Nothobranchius furzeri: one gene and its partners. The protein of the gene in region 1 interacts with the protein of each later gene in a pairwise test. Links are inferred from orthologs where the notes say so. Each region holds a gene or a part of one and is shown on either strand. Other genes may lie near its edges.

Evidence for each region. The genes of interacting proteins can lie anywhere in the genome.
Region 2: the proteins of lsm3 (region 1) and clns1a interact in binary tests that used the Homo sapiens proteins (3 or more experiments, as listed by UniProt). The link is inferred for Nothobranchius furzeri from reciprocal best matches to the Homo sapiens genes LSM3 and CLNS1A.
Region 3: the proteins of lsm3 (region 1) and lsm10 interact in binary tests that used the Homo sapiens proteins (3 or more experiments, as listed by UniProt). The link is inferred for Nothobranchius furzeri from reciprocal best matches to the Homo sapiens genes LSM3 and LSM10.
Region 4: the proteins of lsm3 (region 1) and keap1b interact in binary tests that used the Homo sapiens proteins (3 or more experiments, as listed by UniProt). The two-hybrid records come from large-scale screens. The link is inferred for Nothobranchius furzeri from reciprocal best matches to the Homo sapiens genes LSM3 and KEAP1.

Annotation. Positions count from the first base shown.
Region 1 is NC_091743.1:73,197,565-73,201,748, reverse strand, and holds the start of lsm3 (U6 snRNA-associated Sm-like protein LSm3), read left to right. Parts: upstream 1-1,384; 5' UTR 1,385-1,450; coding exon 1,451-1,471; intron 1,472-2,672; coding exon 2,673-2,783; intron 2,784-3,229; coding exon 3,230-3,325; intron 3,326-3,673; coding exon 3,674-3,754; 3' UTR 3,755-4,184. UniProt on the Homo sapiens protein: Plays a role in pre-mRNA splicing as component of the U4/U6-U5 tri-snRNP complex that is involved in spliceosome assembly, and as component of the precatalytic spliceosome (spliceosome B complex).
Region 2 is NC_091753.1:60,549,141-60,553,094, forward strand, and holds the start of clns1a (methylosome subunit pICln), read left to right. Parts: upstream 1-1,154; 5' UTR 1,155-1,414; coding exon 1,415-1,533; intron 1,534-1,871; coding exon 1,872-2,008; intron 2,009-2,102; coding exon 2,103-2,219; intron 2,220-3,954. UniProt on the Homo sapiens protein: Involved in both the assembly of spliceosomal snRNPs and the methylation of Sm proteins.
Region 3 is NC_091759.1:27,048,194-27,052,232, reverse strand, and holds the start of lsm10 (U7 snRNA-associated Sm-like protein LSm10), read right to left. Parts: upstream 2,801-4,039; 5' UTR 2,736-2,800; intron 2,279-2,735; exon of another isoform or gene 2,204-2,278; 5' UTR 2,145-2,203; coding exon 1,749-2,144; 3' UTR 1,678-1,748; intron 923-1,677; exon of another isoform or gene 786-922; intron 1-785. Other genes in the region: protein OSCP1, read right to left, coding at 3,602-3,724. UniProt on the Homo sapiens protein: Appears to function in the U7 snRNP complex that is involved in histone 3'-end processing. Increases U7 snRNA levels but not histone 3'-end pre-mRNA processing activity, when overexpressed. Required for cell cycle progression from G1 to S phases.
Region 4 is NC_091747.1:74,194,569-74,198,780, forward strand, and holds the start of keap1b (kelch-like ECH-associated protein 1B), read left to right. Parts: upstream 1-1,412; 5' UTR 1,413-1,676; intron 1,677-3,140; 5' UTR 3,141-3,212; intron 3,213-4,212. UniProt on the Homo sapiens protein: Substrate-specific adapter of a BCR (BTB-CUL3-RBX1) E3 ubiquitin ligase complex that regulates the response to oxidative stress by targeting NFE2L2/NRF2 for ubiquitination.

The sequences.
Region 1 (4,184 bases):
CATGCTCCTGTCCTGTCACCAGACAATGAGTCATACATAAGGGTTTGGATAAAAATAAATAAATAAATAAATCATGTGTCCCAAACTGCACCTGCACACATTTTCTAATGAATGGTTAAAAGCAATAAATCAGTGGAGAAAAACAAGTGATTCTGAAATGCACTGCCAAGTTCTTGCAACTTCGACATCTCATGGGGCTTAAAGGAGATGTACAGTTGGATGTCATCTGCATAAGATGGTTGGAGATTTCTTTGAAGGAGCTCAGGATGTGCTGAAGAGGGAGCAGATAGAGGAGGAAGAGTAGAGCGCCCAGCACAGAACCTTGTGGGACACCATGGGCGAGGGAGGTGGTGGAGGACCCAAACTTGGAGACGGCCACAGAGAAGCACCTAACCCTAACCCTAACCCTCAGACAGATAAGAGGAGAACCACTTCAGAGCAGATCCTGATATGCCTACCCAGTCTCTCAGCAAAGCTGCTGACACACAACCTTCTCCAGAAGTTTCAAATTGAAAAGGAGAATAGAGATTGGCCTGTAATTGTCTGCACAGAGACATCAGATTCTGGTTTCTTCAGGATCGGTTTACTGACTGCAGCTTTTAATGCAGTTGGAACCACTCCAGTGCTCAGGCTGCCGTTAATGATCAGACGCAGAGACTGACCCAAACACGGAAAGGCCTCCTTCCACAGACGAGGTGGCAAAACATCGAGTGGAGAGCTAGACGACTTCTGCCCTGAGACAAGCTTAGACAACTCAGAATAAGAGAGTATTAAAATAGCTCAGGGTGGACTGTATTGGAGTAACTGGATCAGGGTCTGTAGATGAACCAAAAATAGCAGCTCTAATGGCAGAGACTTTGCTAGTGAAAAAGTTGTGAAAGTCATCACATTCTCCAGCAGCAGTAGAAAAAATGATGCCAGAGTCCTGGTACACTGAGACAGAGTTAAGCGTTTTATGGAGAATTTTTGAATTGTTACAGTTTGTATCAATGATGTCAGCAAAATAGCCCGTTCTAGCGACCCTCACAGCATCAAGATCAAGATACTCTAAACATCTAATGGGAGACCTGTAGGTCTATGCCCGTTTATGTGCAGCCTACAGTTACAACAACCGGCGTACAATTTGAAAACAGATCAAGCGGGATTACTAGTAACTTTACAAGCCTACCTCATGGAATTCTATATTTAAATATATTTTAATTTATTTTGTTAAATTATATTTATATTTTAATTATCATGCCATATATTGTATCAGCTTTTGTGAAAAAGCTTGATAAAATGCGTTTTTTAGTTGGCTAAGCACCTTCCTAAGTAGAAATTAATGCAGTGGGGGCGAATGGAGACCCAACTAAGATGGCGGTCGGCCACTACGGCAGCCGTCCACGGGGCGTCTACGTATATATGACTGCGACCTCAGAGCCCATTGAGGCACTAGGCCAGTTAAAGCATCATGGCGGATGAAGTGGAGCAGGTTCGTTTGGTTGCCGTGTTTATACACTTTTGTTCGTTTTAGCGTCTGTGCAGTTGCTTGACTTCGTCGCGCATTATTAACTTTATGCATTTCTTTAATCTAAGGATACAAGCGTAGCATTTTGCTAATTGCTAACACGGTTTAATTGTGTTTAGGCCTGTGAAACCGGTTAGCCCACATTCACCTAGCGTTCAGCTCATCCTAAAATTATCAGTAAGCGCGTAAAAGTTACCAGATTCTCACAAATGAAAGATTAATGAATGACTTTTCCCGTTATGTTTGTCTAGCAAATTGGACAAATAATTAATATTGAGTTTTCTTTAACTATTGTGTTTAGTTATTAACTTTAGTAAGTAACGAGTCTCAACAAACTGTTTGGATCAAAGTTTATGATTTAAAATGAATATTTCTAAGCTGTAATGTGCAATTTAATTGAAAATAAAGATATTAGTGACAAAGATACCATAGTGTTAATAAGTCATGAGACGTTTAATTGGTTTGATCAGTACTTCTGCACACTCTCTTTACATTTCCTATCAGATGGTTTGTTTTCTAAGCCCTGGTCTTTAAAGGCAAGCCTTAACAAAGCTGTACAGACACAACAAAAATGAATAAATAACAATATAAAGACTCAGCTAAACAATGTTTGGATATTAGTGATGCATCGATATAAATTTTTGGACCGATACTGATATCCGATATTAAGATCACTGTTATGGCCGATAACCGATATTTGCCGATACCGATATACACTGACATTAATGCTTCCAAAATCTGCAGATTTTATATAGAATGAAAATTATTAAAGCTGGATTTACATTATTGTGTACACACAACACACACATTTACGCTTCTGAGGTGATTACAATCACTGTCACATGATTAAACAAATACACATCACCCCCCTCACCCTCTGAAACTGATAAACAAATGGAGACGAGATAGAAAAATTAATATCGGCCCGGTTTTATTTATGGGACCAATACCGATATGTTTAAAAATGACTAACATCGGCCGATACCGATATTGATGCCGATATATTGTCCATCCCTATTGGATATTTTTAATCTAGATTTTTAAAAACATTTCCGGTGAGTGTAAAAAAACCGACTAGTTTTGTTTTTAAATGTTTGCTATTTGATGAATATGCCAATAAAAAATGGAATCCGTACATTGATGATTATTTTAATGTGTTCCACAGCAACCACCTACCAACACGGTGGAGGAGCCTCTCGATTTGATCAGGCTCAGTCTGGATGAGCGGATCTACGTGAAGATGAGGAATGACCGGGAGCTCCGCGGTCGACTACATGTACGACACACACACACACACACACACACACACACGGTTCAGAAGATCCAGTTTTTTCACAATACTTGCTGATAAAACAGGTAAAAAAAATAAGACTGAAAATTCTAATGTCAGTAAAACAACTTAAAAGGTGAAACTAATCTATGAGACAGACTCATTCCACGCAAACCCAGATATTTCAGCCTTTATTTGTGATGATTATGGCATTCAGCTGATGAAAACCCCACATTCATAATCTCAGACAATTAGAATATTGTGTTCAGGTAAATATTCTAGTGTCAGACTTTTATCAGCTGATGAATCCAGAACACCTGCAGAGGGTTCCTGAGCCTGTAGATGGTCTCTCCATCTGAGCTTGATTACTGTCATAAATGGACTTTTGCACCATATTCTCTTTTGTCCAGTTTCACCTGTATGTCCTAACTAATGTTTGCCATCTGGTCCAGGCGTATGACCAACACTTAAATATGATCCTGGGGGATGTGGAGGAGACGGTGACAACAGTGGAGATTGATGAGGAGACGTATGAAGAACTTTATAAGGTCAGTTTTTATGAACAAACATAGAAAAACCTCTCTAGCCACATTTCTACTGAACAGCTTTTGTTTTGGACTCTTTGCTGTGTTTGCTTAGTGGCAAACTTGTGCCACTGTTGGGTGATGCTTAAAGATCCATCAGATGCAGAAACGTTAAACGATGTTAACTTGTCACTTTAACATAACGCTGAATAGATCTGCAGAAAGTAATAAAACAGAATTTTAAGATTCTACGAGGTTTCATTATTGTTCATGATCAGAAACTCAAGTTTTATTTAAATTTGACGGTACTTTAGTGAGTATTTAAATAAAATATCTGTTATTTAAATGTTTTTACTGTATTTGTTTCTTTAGTCTACCAAGAGGAACATCCCCATGTTGTTTGTCAGAGGAGACGGCGTTGTCCTCGTAGCTCCGCCTCTCCGAGTCGGCTAAGCCCCCCATGCCTGACAGGATGATGTAACTGCTTCTGGGAAGTGTCCATTTTTGTAGGAGAGTGTTATAAATCTTCATTTTCCTTATGCTAGACTGTTATTTCATCTTTAAATTTCATGTGAATCAGAGGCTCTTCTCTAGGGCAAAATGTCTGAGGGGGGAAAAACCCAGGAAGTATGATGTGAGGACACTTTTTTTTATTTTTTGACACATTCTGGGATTGTAAGAATCGGCCTCAGTAGATACTATTATTTTTAGTAGAAAAACATTTTTCTGAATCTTATCAGTTCCGATTGAGTCATTCCAGTGTTTATAAAGACTCGGGTCCCCTTGTGAGCGAAATGTTTGTTAAATTGCTCAACTTTTATGTTGATTTTTAGCTAAATGATTGCATTTGAGTCCCAGAACATTCTTTTTCTTTTACATGACG
Region 2 (3,954 bases), on another chromosome or scaffold:
TTTATTAAACATGCTTTTATACATGTTGTACAAGTTTGGTGTTCATTTTTTCACCATTAACACTTTTTCATCTACCGTGTTTGACCATACAGTTTTATTGAAGTTTTCTTTTTATTTAGTTGCCATTAGTCAGGCTATAGAAGCCAGATAAACTGGGTTATAGATGCATGTACTGTCTTCACATAAAAATATAAAGTAATGACTGTAAAATGTATTCTACTGAACATAATAGATCATCATTCAAAGCATAAACAGCTGCATGTTTTCTTCAAGGTAAGCTGGAGCAGAATTCTAGCTTTCAATAAACACTTTAAAATGGATATTACAACTCGAGTTTAGGGCTTCTTGTAGGACTTAAAGTTATTAAACATGCTTATATTAGAGCAGTGTGTTGAAGAAGAAGAAAATACCATTTCTATAGCGCCTCTCAAGATAAAAATCACGAGGCGCTTGTGTGTACGGAAGCTCTAATTTCCCCCTGGGATTAATAAAGTATCTTTGAATTTAATTGAATTGAAGAACCATCCCCATCCCTCATGGCCACTCACACGCCATCTTGTCGCTGGGCACAAACCGAATCTCTGTGATTGCTCCATCCTCATCGTCGTCCTCTTGTTGCATTACTACATCAGATTTATTGCTATAGTATATTATAGTAATGTATGTGGTCTAAATGTGTTCTACAGTGTGTTAGGACTGTCGTGTTCCTGTAATGTCGAACAGTCGCGGGTGTCTGTCTTCCTACAAAGGAAAAATAAAAAGGGTACTTTGTGAAGGAATTAGGACATAATATATAATATAATATGTAATATTATTCAATAATTACCAAAAATTGCCAGGGGAAATGTGATGATATTCAATTTTTGTGATTTGTCCCACCATACATCGTTCAAACGGACTCACGGCGCAATTTTCCAATCGTGAGAGCCCTTCCAGCCAATCAGAGGCGAGAAAGGCGGGACCTTCCTTGGAAATCCTACGATTCCAAATCATGCTCACTGGGCATCTACGTATGGCCTTCAAACGTACGCACATACCTTTCTTTACATGAATACTAAAGTTACGTAGGAACTAAGCCATCCAACTTCGACCTGATGGGTCACGTGAGCTTTTAACGTGCGGAATAAACCGCGAGATTTCAGCTTGACGTAGGCCGAGCGGCGGGAACAGTTGGCTAACAATATTCTTTTTTGGTTACAATCGTCTATGATGCTTTTCGGAGTCCCTCACATTTACTCTTAAACTCCGGGGGAAAGCGGCAAAGTGCGGAGGCTGTTTTTCCTTCTTCGGCTTTCTGGGACACGTTTATTTAGAAATTCTCGTGTTAAATTAGCCAGATTTGTAGCTGACACAGCTTTCTGTCAACAGCGGCTCGTGCTTTGTCACAGCTAGCTAGCTAGCTGTTATCTGGACCATGGTTGTGCTGAAAAGTCTCCACCCTCCTACCGAGGGAGTGCGACACCAGCAGGCGGACACCACGGCGGAGCTGGACGGCCTGAAGCTGGGTTGCGGGACGCTGTGTGTGGCCGAAACGTGAGTGAAGCATGTGGTGGTTCTTAGTCGTCCTGGAGGAGCCTTGTTTCAGTGTAATGAAGCTAAACCACAAAACTACAAGTTAGAAATACCAGAAGCTTAATAAAACACCTGGTTTGTTTTGGTTTGACCTGTTTATCTTCTCCGCGTGTCTGGGATTTGTGTTATATTTATATCTCCATGTGTTCATGATCAGTTTGGATAAATAACCGCGATGTGACATTTTATTCTCACACTACCCTACTCGTGTTTTTATTTATTAGCATTGCAAGTCATGAAGTGCGTGAGAGCTTCTGGTGTTCAGCCTGCGCCTCTCAGCTGGCTCTTTTGTCTTGTAGACGCCTGTTGTGGTTCGATGACTCGAGGAAGGGCTTCTCTCTGGAGTATCCATCGATCGGTCTACACGCCATCTCCAGAGACGTCTGCTCCTACCCCCAGGAACACCTCTACGTCATGGTGAACGGCAAAGTCGGCGGTAAGAGGAGCTGTGTGGATTCAGGATCCAGACTCTGTTACCTAAAGCTAGACCTGATTACATGGTTGTTGGTTTTCTAATGCGTCCATCGCAGATGAGAATGAGACAGAGATGGGTGCTGCTGATGATGATGACGACAGCAGCAAAGAGGACGACGATGAGGATGGAGCAATCACAGAGATTCGGTTTGTGCCCAGCGACAAGACGGCGTGTGAGTGGCCATGAGGGATGGGGATGGTTCTTCAATTCAATTCAAAGATGCTTTATTAATCCCAGAGGGAAATTAGAGTTTCAGTACACACAATTCTGAGATCAGACATACATTCATAGACACACTGTGGTCATTTGCAACCCGAGTCGCGCTACCTTAATAGAGATCAGAGGGTTCATATGAGGATTGGTTCAAGTGGAGGAAAAAAAGGCGCTTCAGAGTTACCCTCCACAGGGAGGGCAGCTTTGCTCTGCAAAAAACACCTCAGACAGAAATGCAACAGACTTCCGACATTACACAACATAAGTGTCCACTAGGTGGGGTGGTAGGGTTGGGGACTCTCCTCACATCAGTGCGTGCAGCCACGATAAGCAGCGCTCATCACCTCCGTTTGGACAGGGGAGGGAGGTCGTTGGGTTTAGAGAGCACAGTGACTCCTGGAAACAATTCCACGGCCTTCACCGGTCACAGTCCCGCCCAGGCTGGGATAGGGAGACAGAGTTGCCATGGCGACGGCAGCATTCCACATTTCTTCTGAGGGGGAGTAATCACTTCAGCCTCACAGGCACAAGGGCACCAGATTCAGATAAGAACTTGTTTTGGGGACAGACAGAGATAATTTCCTCTCTGCCTTAGTGTTCTGTTGGTCTCCAACCCCTCTAGATCCAATAATGGTGTAATTAATCTATCCCAGTCCGTGCTGATCCGTCCACTCTCTCCTTGATGGAATCCACCTTCTGTGCCAGAGCCTGAATCTCAGCCAAAGTTCCAAGCTTACGACTCATCTCGACAATTATATGAGTTAGTGCGTTCACAGCGCGGTGTAATCCATCCCTGAGCTCCGGGATTGAGCCAAAATTCCTCGACAGCTCATTAATTTTCCGGTAAGCCAGGTAACCACTCAGGCCGAAGAGCAGGAATCCCGACACCAACACCACGAATATCCACACGTCTTCAGAATCCTCTACAGACAGCTGAGAGAGGCAGATCAGGTCCCACTGTTTCCAGGAGTCCATGATATACCCAGCTGGCTCTGTCCCAGAGGGGCAGCCGGGAGCCCCTTCTCCCGTTCTCATCGTTGAAAAATGTTGTCAATCGCGTTGAGAGACCAACTGACCAGGTCCACTTTAATAATTTCCAGTTTCCAGAAAAAATGCAGAAGCACCGTCCACCCAGAGACAGACAAAGAGCCTTGGGTTAAGATGGGGAGGAGAGTAGGACTAAAGCGTCTGTAATCTCCAAGAGCCGGGAGAAGAGTTGTGTTACTACAAGATCTTTGATCCACACTCCAGCTGCCATATTGGAAAGGATTCATGCAAACATAATGGTTATAAATGGATCTACTGACACATTTAATAATCACACGATCATAAACAAAGACAGGAGCACAAAAGTGAGCCTGATTTGGTGTAGCTTTGGTTAACTAATTAGTTACTAACTTTAACCAGCTGATCAGCTTGTTAACCGGTTAGCATGTAGGTTTAGTCCTAAGACTGATCGTTTTATCAGCTTCAGACAGACTGATCTGCTTCAGCTGTGTTTTACACAACAAGGGCATAAAGCTGCAGGAGTGACTAAAGAGTGATATTAATACAAACCTTTAACTAACTATAAGTATCGGGTGGGAACGAGGGAACTGTACAGCACAGATTTAATACATACTGTAGGGAGCCTAAGCCACGCCCATCTACTTCCGGACCAACGGCGCTAAAACGCTGTTTTATAATTCTGCTTG
Region 3 (4,039 bases), on another chromosome or scaffold:
TGCTATGGTTCGTGTCTGCCACAAGCTCCACCCATCTAAGATGGCGACCGCATTTCCTGCACCTGAGCGGCCAACAGAGCTCTAAATAAATATATCTGTGGCTTGCCCTACTCTGATTGCTCTGTGATCATTTGCTCTAGTCTGATTGATTTCTCTGTGATCATCAGAATCTGACTTTGGCCTCGTTGGCTGAAGAGGAGCAATCCAGAAAGAAAAGGACCGTTTCTATGGCAACCCCAGATAAAAATACGGCGCTTCACAAAAACAAAAAAATTAAAGATAAAAAGATTTTAAAAAAGTTTAAAATAAGAAAAAAAAAATCGATATAAAATGTAAGTAAAGGGAGAGAAAATGAAAGGAGAGGGACACCGGGGGATCTGGGAAAGGTGGAGCAAGAGCAGAACCAGGAGAGGGAGGTCCCACCAAACCCCAACAGCTGAGTTTAAAGGAGACCACTGAGTCCACTGGTCTCAGGCTCGGGGGGAGAGCTCCAGAGTCTGGGGACCACAGCAGCACCTCTGAACTTTAGCCTGGTGCTGCACAGCCAGTACAACCGGATCTGTTGGGTCAGGGCAGCAACAGAACCAACAGAGTGGTGTTTAGTCCCAGTTCTGATTCTGACCAGATTTAGACCCAAACTGGTTCTGAACCTAAGAGGATCCACATTCCTCCTGAGTTCTGCAGAATGGAGTTTTGATCCAGCAGAACCACCAAGGTACGTGCTGTTATCATGCTGCTGAAGCTCACAAAAGGCTCTTTGGACCAGAACCTTTCTCCTGACTCACCTCGGTTCTGATGAAGGTTTAATCGGCGCTCCTCGTCTCTGGCCACTCATCCCTCCAGTGGCTCCACAGAACCGAATCCTGCCTGGGAACTCCAGAAAGGACCATCTGGCTCTGACCCAGGTCCACTGCTCAGCCCGCAGGGTTCTGGAGAGTTCTGGTGGGCGGAGCAGGAAACAACTGGGCGGCTGCAGCCGAGATGAGCAGGAATGTCTGGGGGGGGGGGGGGGGGGGGGTGTCTCCATCTCACAGCTGACTCTGTTACGCTGCAGGTTCTGGTCTCTCTAGACCTGGACCTGTGGTAATGATGTGGTCAGGTTCTGACTCAGGCTGAATCGGATCCAAGTGGTTTTCCTGGTTCGTATCCATCCTCCTGCTGGAATAAAAATTCCCAGCAGCCTTCGTGTTCCAGAGGAACGCAGCTACTCCCAAACATGGTCTGGCCCTCCACCAATCAGAGACGGGCTGGAGACCCGCGGCTCCTGGAACTGCAGGGAGCTCAGAACAAGCATCCCGACCCGGCGCTGGAAGTCCCATCTGCATCAACCCAGAACCAGGACCACGACTAAAGTTCTGGTCAGACTGGGCCTCAGACAGGCTGCTGGTACCAGAGACAGAAGAGTCTCTCGTGTACCGCAGTGGGTCAGAACCGCCCATCAGCTGATCGGAGCTCAGCTCAGGACCTTTCTGAGCGAATAACATGAAAAATGTTTGTTTTTTACTAAAATATCTTCCTTCGGGATCATTTTAGCGTTGCTTCGTCTGGAAAAAGAATCCGAACATGAATTACTTCTGAAGTTTTGTGTTTTTAGTTTTGAACGTTACTCAGACGTCAGTCTTGTTGCCATGCAACAGTCCTCCTTTTGACCGAGGAGCGATGACATCGGGTGTTTACCGTTACCGCGCGAGCGTCACGATGTACCGACAAAGATCGCCCACTCCTGTGCCGAAGCGGTACCGGTCCGATCAGTTCGACTTCTTGGAGAACTCCTTCCTGCCTTCGCTGCCGAAGCTCCGGACTCTGTGGATCTTGTCCAGCTGGTTCTGGATGGTCTTCATCATGTCCACGTCATCTGGGATGTGCACGTAACGCACGTTCCTGCCGGTGATGAACAGGTCCTGCAGCTGGCGGCGCCGTCCCCGCCGGTCCTGGTACAGCACGTCCTTCAGACGGACGTTCATGAAGGCATCCACACTGAGCACACGTCCCTGGGCCGTGGACTCGTCCCTCAGGTCCACCGTGGTCACCCGGCCCTGGAGACCCTGCAGCAGAACCACCAAGCTGTTCTCGGAGATGGTCCGCTCACGAATCGAGTTAACCACTTCACCCGAGGCTGGAGCTCCAGCTGCTTCAGACTCCATGTCCTCTCCACAGGTTCTGGTGCCAGAAACCCGGGCTGCTCAGACCCGGTTCTCCTGACCTGAAACCAGAAGGAAGTTGACTGAAACGGGTCCGTTCATCCCAACAGAACCGAGCCAGACCTCGCCTTTGACCCGTATGATTATGAAGGACTTTCTCTGGCCGGGTTCAGTCCTGTTAGCTGATCCTGTTCTATCAGAGACCTGAACCAGGACCTGTCCCTCTGGTGGTCTCACGGAACCAGAACCGAGCTGTAGCACCTGCTAGCACCTGAGGCTAACACTTTCACTAACAACCGGATCTTTTTCCGGCTTTTCCGCTAAAAAGAGCATAAGCTTCAAACTTGAACCTCGAGACGGGACCAGATTTGGATCCTACCAGATCTCGTGTCTTTAACAGGAATCTCGCGAGACTTAAGTTTTGGGGTTGGCGCGTGCTCAGTGTGTGAAGCTAAAGTTTAGCTAAAGCAGTTTTTACCCGCCGCGGTCAGCATTCTAACGACAGCGGTGCTGATAACGAGGGTCCCGTTAAAATAAACTCGACACATCCGGGGAGATTCAAACTTTCACCAAACAACAACTGTCTGAACTCACCGAACTGCTGCCGCTCCGCGCTGGCTTCCGCTTACGTACGCATTCCATTTAGTGACGTAACTTCCGGATCCGGTTCTGAAAACTCTAAGACGAGTTTTCATTCATAATAAAATATGTTAAACATGTTCAGTCATCAGGAAAGCCAACGTTAAAAAAACAACGTGAACACGACTGCTTTTGAATATGATAACTTTATTTGTTTTTACCAGCGTAGACGACTTTACTTCTGATCGTGTGCGACTGTAGCCAGGGTGAGCCAGAACCAATGGGGTAGCCTCACCTGGCTTCACAGGCCAGGGAGTGTGCCTTGCTCAAGCAGATGACTGCTACACAATGAGCAGGCCTCAAACCTGCAACCCTCCTGTTACAAGGCAGCCACTTACCTCCTCTGCCATTGCCACCCAACGACAGAGCATCATTGTAAATCATGTTAAAACCAGACAACAATACCTTTATGTATTAATTTACCAGACATTTAGAGCTGAACTCTTGGGAATTTTCAGGTAAACAGACACAAAGTGGACGTTTCTGATTCCACGGACTAGATTATAGAGCAGCCTTCCCTTCGTATAAGGACCGGTCCCAGCTTGGAGCATTTTGATCTGGCCTTTATGTCAGACTCAGACATTGTGGTCATTTCTGTAAGATAGGCTTCTATCTTAGCTGATTTTGTTTGTTGCATGTATCCTAATGAAATGTTTTGTTATGATAGCTGTTTTATTGCTTGTGCCTTTGCTACAGCATCTTGGGGATGTACCAGTGCTGTATAGAGAAACGTGAGCTTGAACATCATAGGAAGTTATAAATATTGTCCTTATTTTGTTGACGTCAGACAGTCAGTCTGATGCTGTAATCATGGTATTCAGTCAGAGGTCATCCATCATGGCCAGCAGGTCGGCTCCAGTGCTGCTGCTTTCATCTCCAGGAATTGCTTCTTTGTCTGTGAACTGTCCAGCAATCTGAGCAAGCGTGGAGGTCGTCTCCTCGTCCTGAATCAGACAAATGTTGAAGCAAAAACAAGCTTCAGGGAGGAATGAATGAAAAGTCCCTGAACATACAGATTTAAGCCAAATTTAACAGGTGGAAATGTTCTTTAAATAACAAATGATTAATATCGAGAATTAAGGAAAGCTTGACATGGAGACCTGCCATTTTTCTCAGGGAGCTGGTGTTTATCTTCAGCTTTCTTCAGGAAAAAGACGACACTGGACAGATCTCTTGTCCCTCACTGGGACACACAGAGCCAGCTTAAGCCTAATTTATACGTCTCCATCAGCTCCACCAGGGACAGACACGCACGGACG
Region 4 (4,212 bases), on another chromosome or scaffold:
ATGCCAATAAAAACATTTTGGCATAAATCTGTGGCTGCAGTTTGATATCTAATAGTGATGTGTCGGTCGCAAACGAACCGGCTCTAAGAGCCGGCTCTTTGAAGTGAACGACGGGAGCCGTCCCCTCCCCTCCCCTCTTGCTTTGGTGCAAGCCACAGGCGATTGGTCAGCATGTGTAACTGCGTGTCCAGACTGTCCACACACAGAGCAGTAGGGGCGGGGAAGAGGGAGGATCAGACTCAGACACACAGCAGAGCACATGCGGGAGGAGGGAGACGAGAGGGAATGAGGAGGAGGTAAAAGGAGAGTGCGACTAAGACGGTGAGAAAATGAGCGCCAGCAGTCAGAAAGTGTAGATTTCTTAAAGTGTTCAGTTATTAAATCCATAGAAATGATAAATATTTGATATATTGAATTTTTTTATATTAGTAAATCATTCTACAAATAGTTTAGTATTATTTTGGTTATAAATGTACTCTACGCAACAGAAAATCTGAGGAGCCACTAGGGAGCCGGCTCTTTTTGGTGAGCTGAGCCAAAAGAACCGGCTCTCTTAAAAGAGCCGGAATTCCCACCACTAATATCTAGGGTGATAAGGCATGACTGTCTGCAACAACTGGAGCAGCTGCACGGGAAAACCTCAGATTTGATGAGATTTGTACCAGTGCAGATGTTTATCCAGATGTTGACTCTACTCACCAGGTTTTGGACGCAGTCCTTCCTCCTGTTGAAATCCAACAGCAAACAGGCGCGTTGAAAGTCGTAAGTCCGCGTGCACAGACACTTGCTGGAGGGTCCCCTTCCACTGATCTCATGGCAGAGCAGTAGTAGACTGATGCAGCTTCCACTCCTTAGGCCTGAACACTCAGTTAGCTTGTGGTGCCACCTTGTGACTGTGAGAGAGACCACTATGACCTGGCTTACATATTTTGTAACAGAAAGAACTGGTGTGTCATATACTATTGGTGTCAGTGCATGCCTGGGGCAAACTGCTGCTCAGAGCTGGAGCTGCTCACAAACATGTTTATCTCAAAGAAGAGTCCAGACAAGCACAATGAGTGTGTGAATGTGTGTGTGAATGGATGAATGGTACACTGCAGTGTAAAGGGCTTGGGAGTCCCTACTCTTGAGAGGCGCTATACAAGTGCGGGTCATTTATCATCTTTTATCATTTAGCTATGGGGTTATTATAGGTCAGATCTTTAGCAGCAGTGTTTTCATTTAGTATTAATCACATACTATTGCATTTTAAAACATTTGTGTTACAAGTCATTAAATAGCCGTTTGTTATTACAGTTATTGATTTCATGTAGCATTGCATTTTTCTTTTTAAACTTTTTACCAAGTATTTTCATTTTACGTTTAGGTGTATTAGAGCATGCTTCCCTTGACACATTTGATTAACTGTGAGTCACAGTTTTGGCACTGTGCTCCCATTTTGGCCTAGCTTTTTCTTCATTCTGAGAATTCCTTCCGAATAAAAGCCTCCTCCCTCGTGACGTACGTTTCTTCCATTACACGTTAACGGAGGCAGGTCTCGCGCTTAGGGGAAGACTCTTATTGTGAAAGTGAGGGGAGGCCGCCACAATTGCTTAGTCACGGAGTTACTGCTTTCCCCTCCTTCCTATGTGGCGAACTGCTCGAAAACCCATGATGGAGGAATTGAGCTAGTCTACGTGAGTGTCCTTTATTTTTTACAAATGTACCAAACCACTAACAGTCTAGAGAACCAGTTTGAACAGGTCTGAGTGCCCGCTGAAACCCAAGTAGCAGTACTGTTTTCAGGCTTCGCTTTGTTAGCGTTAACCTATCGACTCGCAGCCGTTACTCTAGTCTATTATTAGGAGTCCGTGTTGCTGTCAGCTCTATTTCCGTGACATTTTATTTGTTTCTATTGCGTCTCAGATTGTTTTTACTTTATTCTAATCGTTTTACAAACTTACAGCCGATGGCGTCCACCTGCTTTGCCTTTTGAACGCCTCCAGTATTTGATGAAAACGAGCTCAGAAACTGTGACCTTTTTAGTGTGCGAGGCAAAGTGGGCTTTGTAAGAAGCGTCTTCATGTCAGGTAGGTAGATGGCGCGGAAATCTTAATTCCGTTCGGGCTTATGTAAGGACGAGCTCCACTTCTGGGTCGTGCTATCGTACAACCAGCTCTGTTTGCTCAGTGAAGAGTTCACGATGAGTCATGGAGGAGGGAGGCTCAAAAATGTCAGTGAAACATGTTGTGCGTTTGTTTGGCTCGTTCTCGTCTGCTGGTTTAGTAGCGTTTAAATGGGTGAAAGGTCACGTTTAGTTGCCGTTTTTAGGCCCTGAAAGTGGCTCCAGATTCTGATGGTGTTGTACGTCACTGTAGGCAAGTTAGTGTGAAAGGATATGCTTGAGAGTCAAGTGTGACTAGCTGCAGATGTCCCTGCACAATATCCTCTCTCACTAGGTAAAGTGTTGTGGAGTTGCCTGAAGGTGATCTTAGAGGTTATGTCTTGTGAGGAAATGAGTCATGTTGGTGTTACACATTATTTGGTCTTTTTCCAGCTGAGGATTTACAGATGTTTATGTTTGGGTTGTTTTTTTTTTCTTCCCAAAAATCTACTTTTGCAATTCCCTAAAGTACAATCAGTGTACTACAATAAAATGACGTGCACAACACAACTTAAAGGGTTTCTCTGACTTATCTGATGTCAGCCAAATCATGGCAACTTGAGCTGGATGACTTGTAGTTTTATCTGTCACGTCTCAAACTTACTATTTTTAAGTTAAAGTCCCCGGCGCATCCAGAGTGACACTTGACCTACTTGTTTGTTGGTCAGCAGCTTCTGCACCTAGTAGAGAGCAAATGAGTTGAGCAATAAGCTCTTCTGTGAAACACTTCCTCAGAAACCTGGGGAAGATAAAAGCACCCAGTGACTCAGAACTTAAACCGGTTTCATGTTACAGTAAATTTAACTCACTGAGTGCTCACACACACACACACACACACACACACACACACACACACACACACACACACACACACACACACACACACACACACACACACACACACACACACACGCACGCACGCACGCACGCACGCAGCCATCTGTTGATCATTTAAATAGAGTGAATCTCAAACATAACCATTTTAATTAATTTGCAGATTGAGGAGCGGTCATAGGTTGGTGACAACAAAGTCTTATCATCACGTCTCTGCACCATCTCCTGTACCCAGGTGATGATCAGTGTGTGTATGCATGTGTGTGTGCAGATTGTTTAGTTATATAACTGACCCACTCACCCCGTTCAAGGATCAGCAGACAGGCCGTTACAGTTAGTTGTATTGAATATACCACTATTAAAGGCAGTTCGATTTCTGAGAGGTAGTTGGAATGGCAGTGAAGTTCTTTCTAATTCTGCTGCATCCCCTTTGGCTGCTTTAGTGGTATGTGTGATGAAGGGTGTTAGTTCTGTGGAGCTTAGGCCATATGATCCAAGTAGATGTACTGGTTTCCAAACCAGTCTGCAAGAGTTGTTTATTTGTTTCCATTCAGCTAAATGCAAAACGCTGGAAGATTAAAATAAATCACATTTCTAATTCTAGTAGTTTATACTGGGAATGAGTAATAAACTGCACACATTTATTGTTATAAATTATTTTTCTTTATTTTTACAAGTGGCATCTTTTAAAAAGGTGTAGTGTGTATGCATTAATAACTTGTTAATAACACATAAAATGCTTAGACTATTTAAGAGAGTAGCCTAAAACTAGATCCAGTTATATTAAAGAGAGGATTAGTGTGCATTGCTGTGCATGCAGCAGAGAGGGAAAAGATGCTAACCAGTTCAGGGTTTCCCCTAGCACTTTATAAGCCTGGTAGCCCGCCAGGCTAAGGGTCACACCTTGCCCCCCTCCCCGACTCTACCGTGTCCGCTGACACGAACGGCGCAACGAAACTAGAGCCATCCATCATCTGATACTGGTGAGAAACAGCAACGGAACGTGTGCAACCCCGCTCTCACGGAGGAGAGCTGTAGGATCGATTGTTACTATAAGAGAATAAACACTACAGGCCTTCCATTTTGTATAACACTGCTTTTATTGTGTTGTGGTTGGTTATGTTCTGGTGACGTGTAGAACTTGGGAGTGCAGGCGGCTGCCTGAGAGGTGGTTGGAGACGGAGTGTCTCCATGCTGCTTTGTTTTGGTCACTTATGAGCGTGAGGCGAATGGTG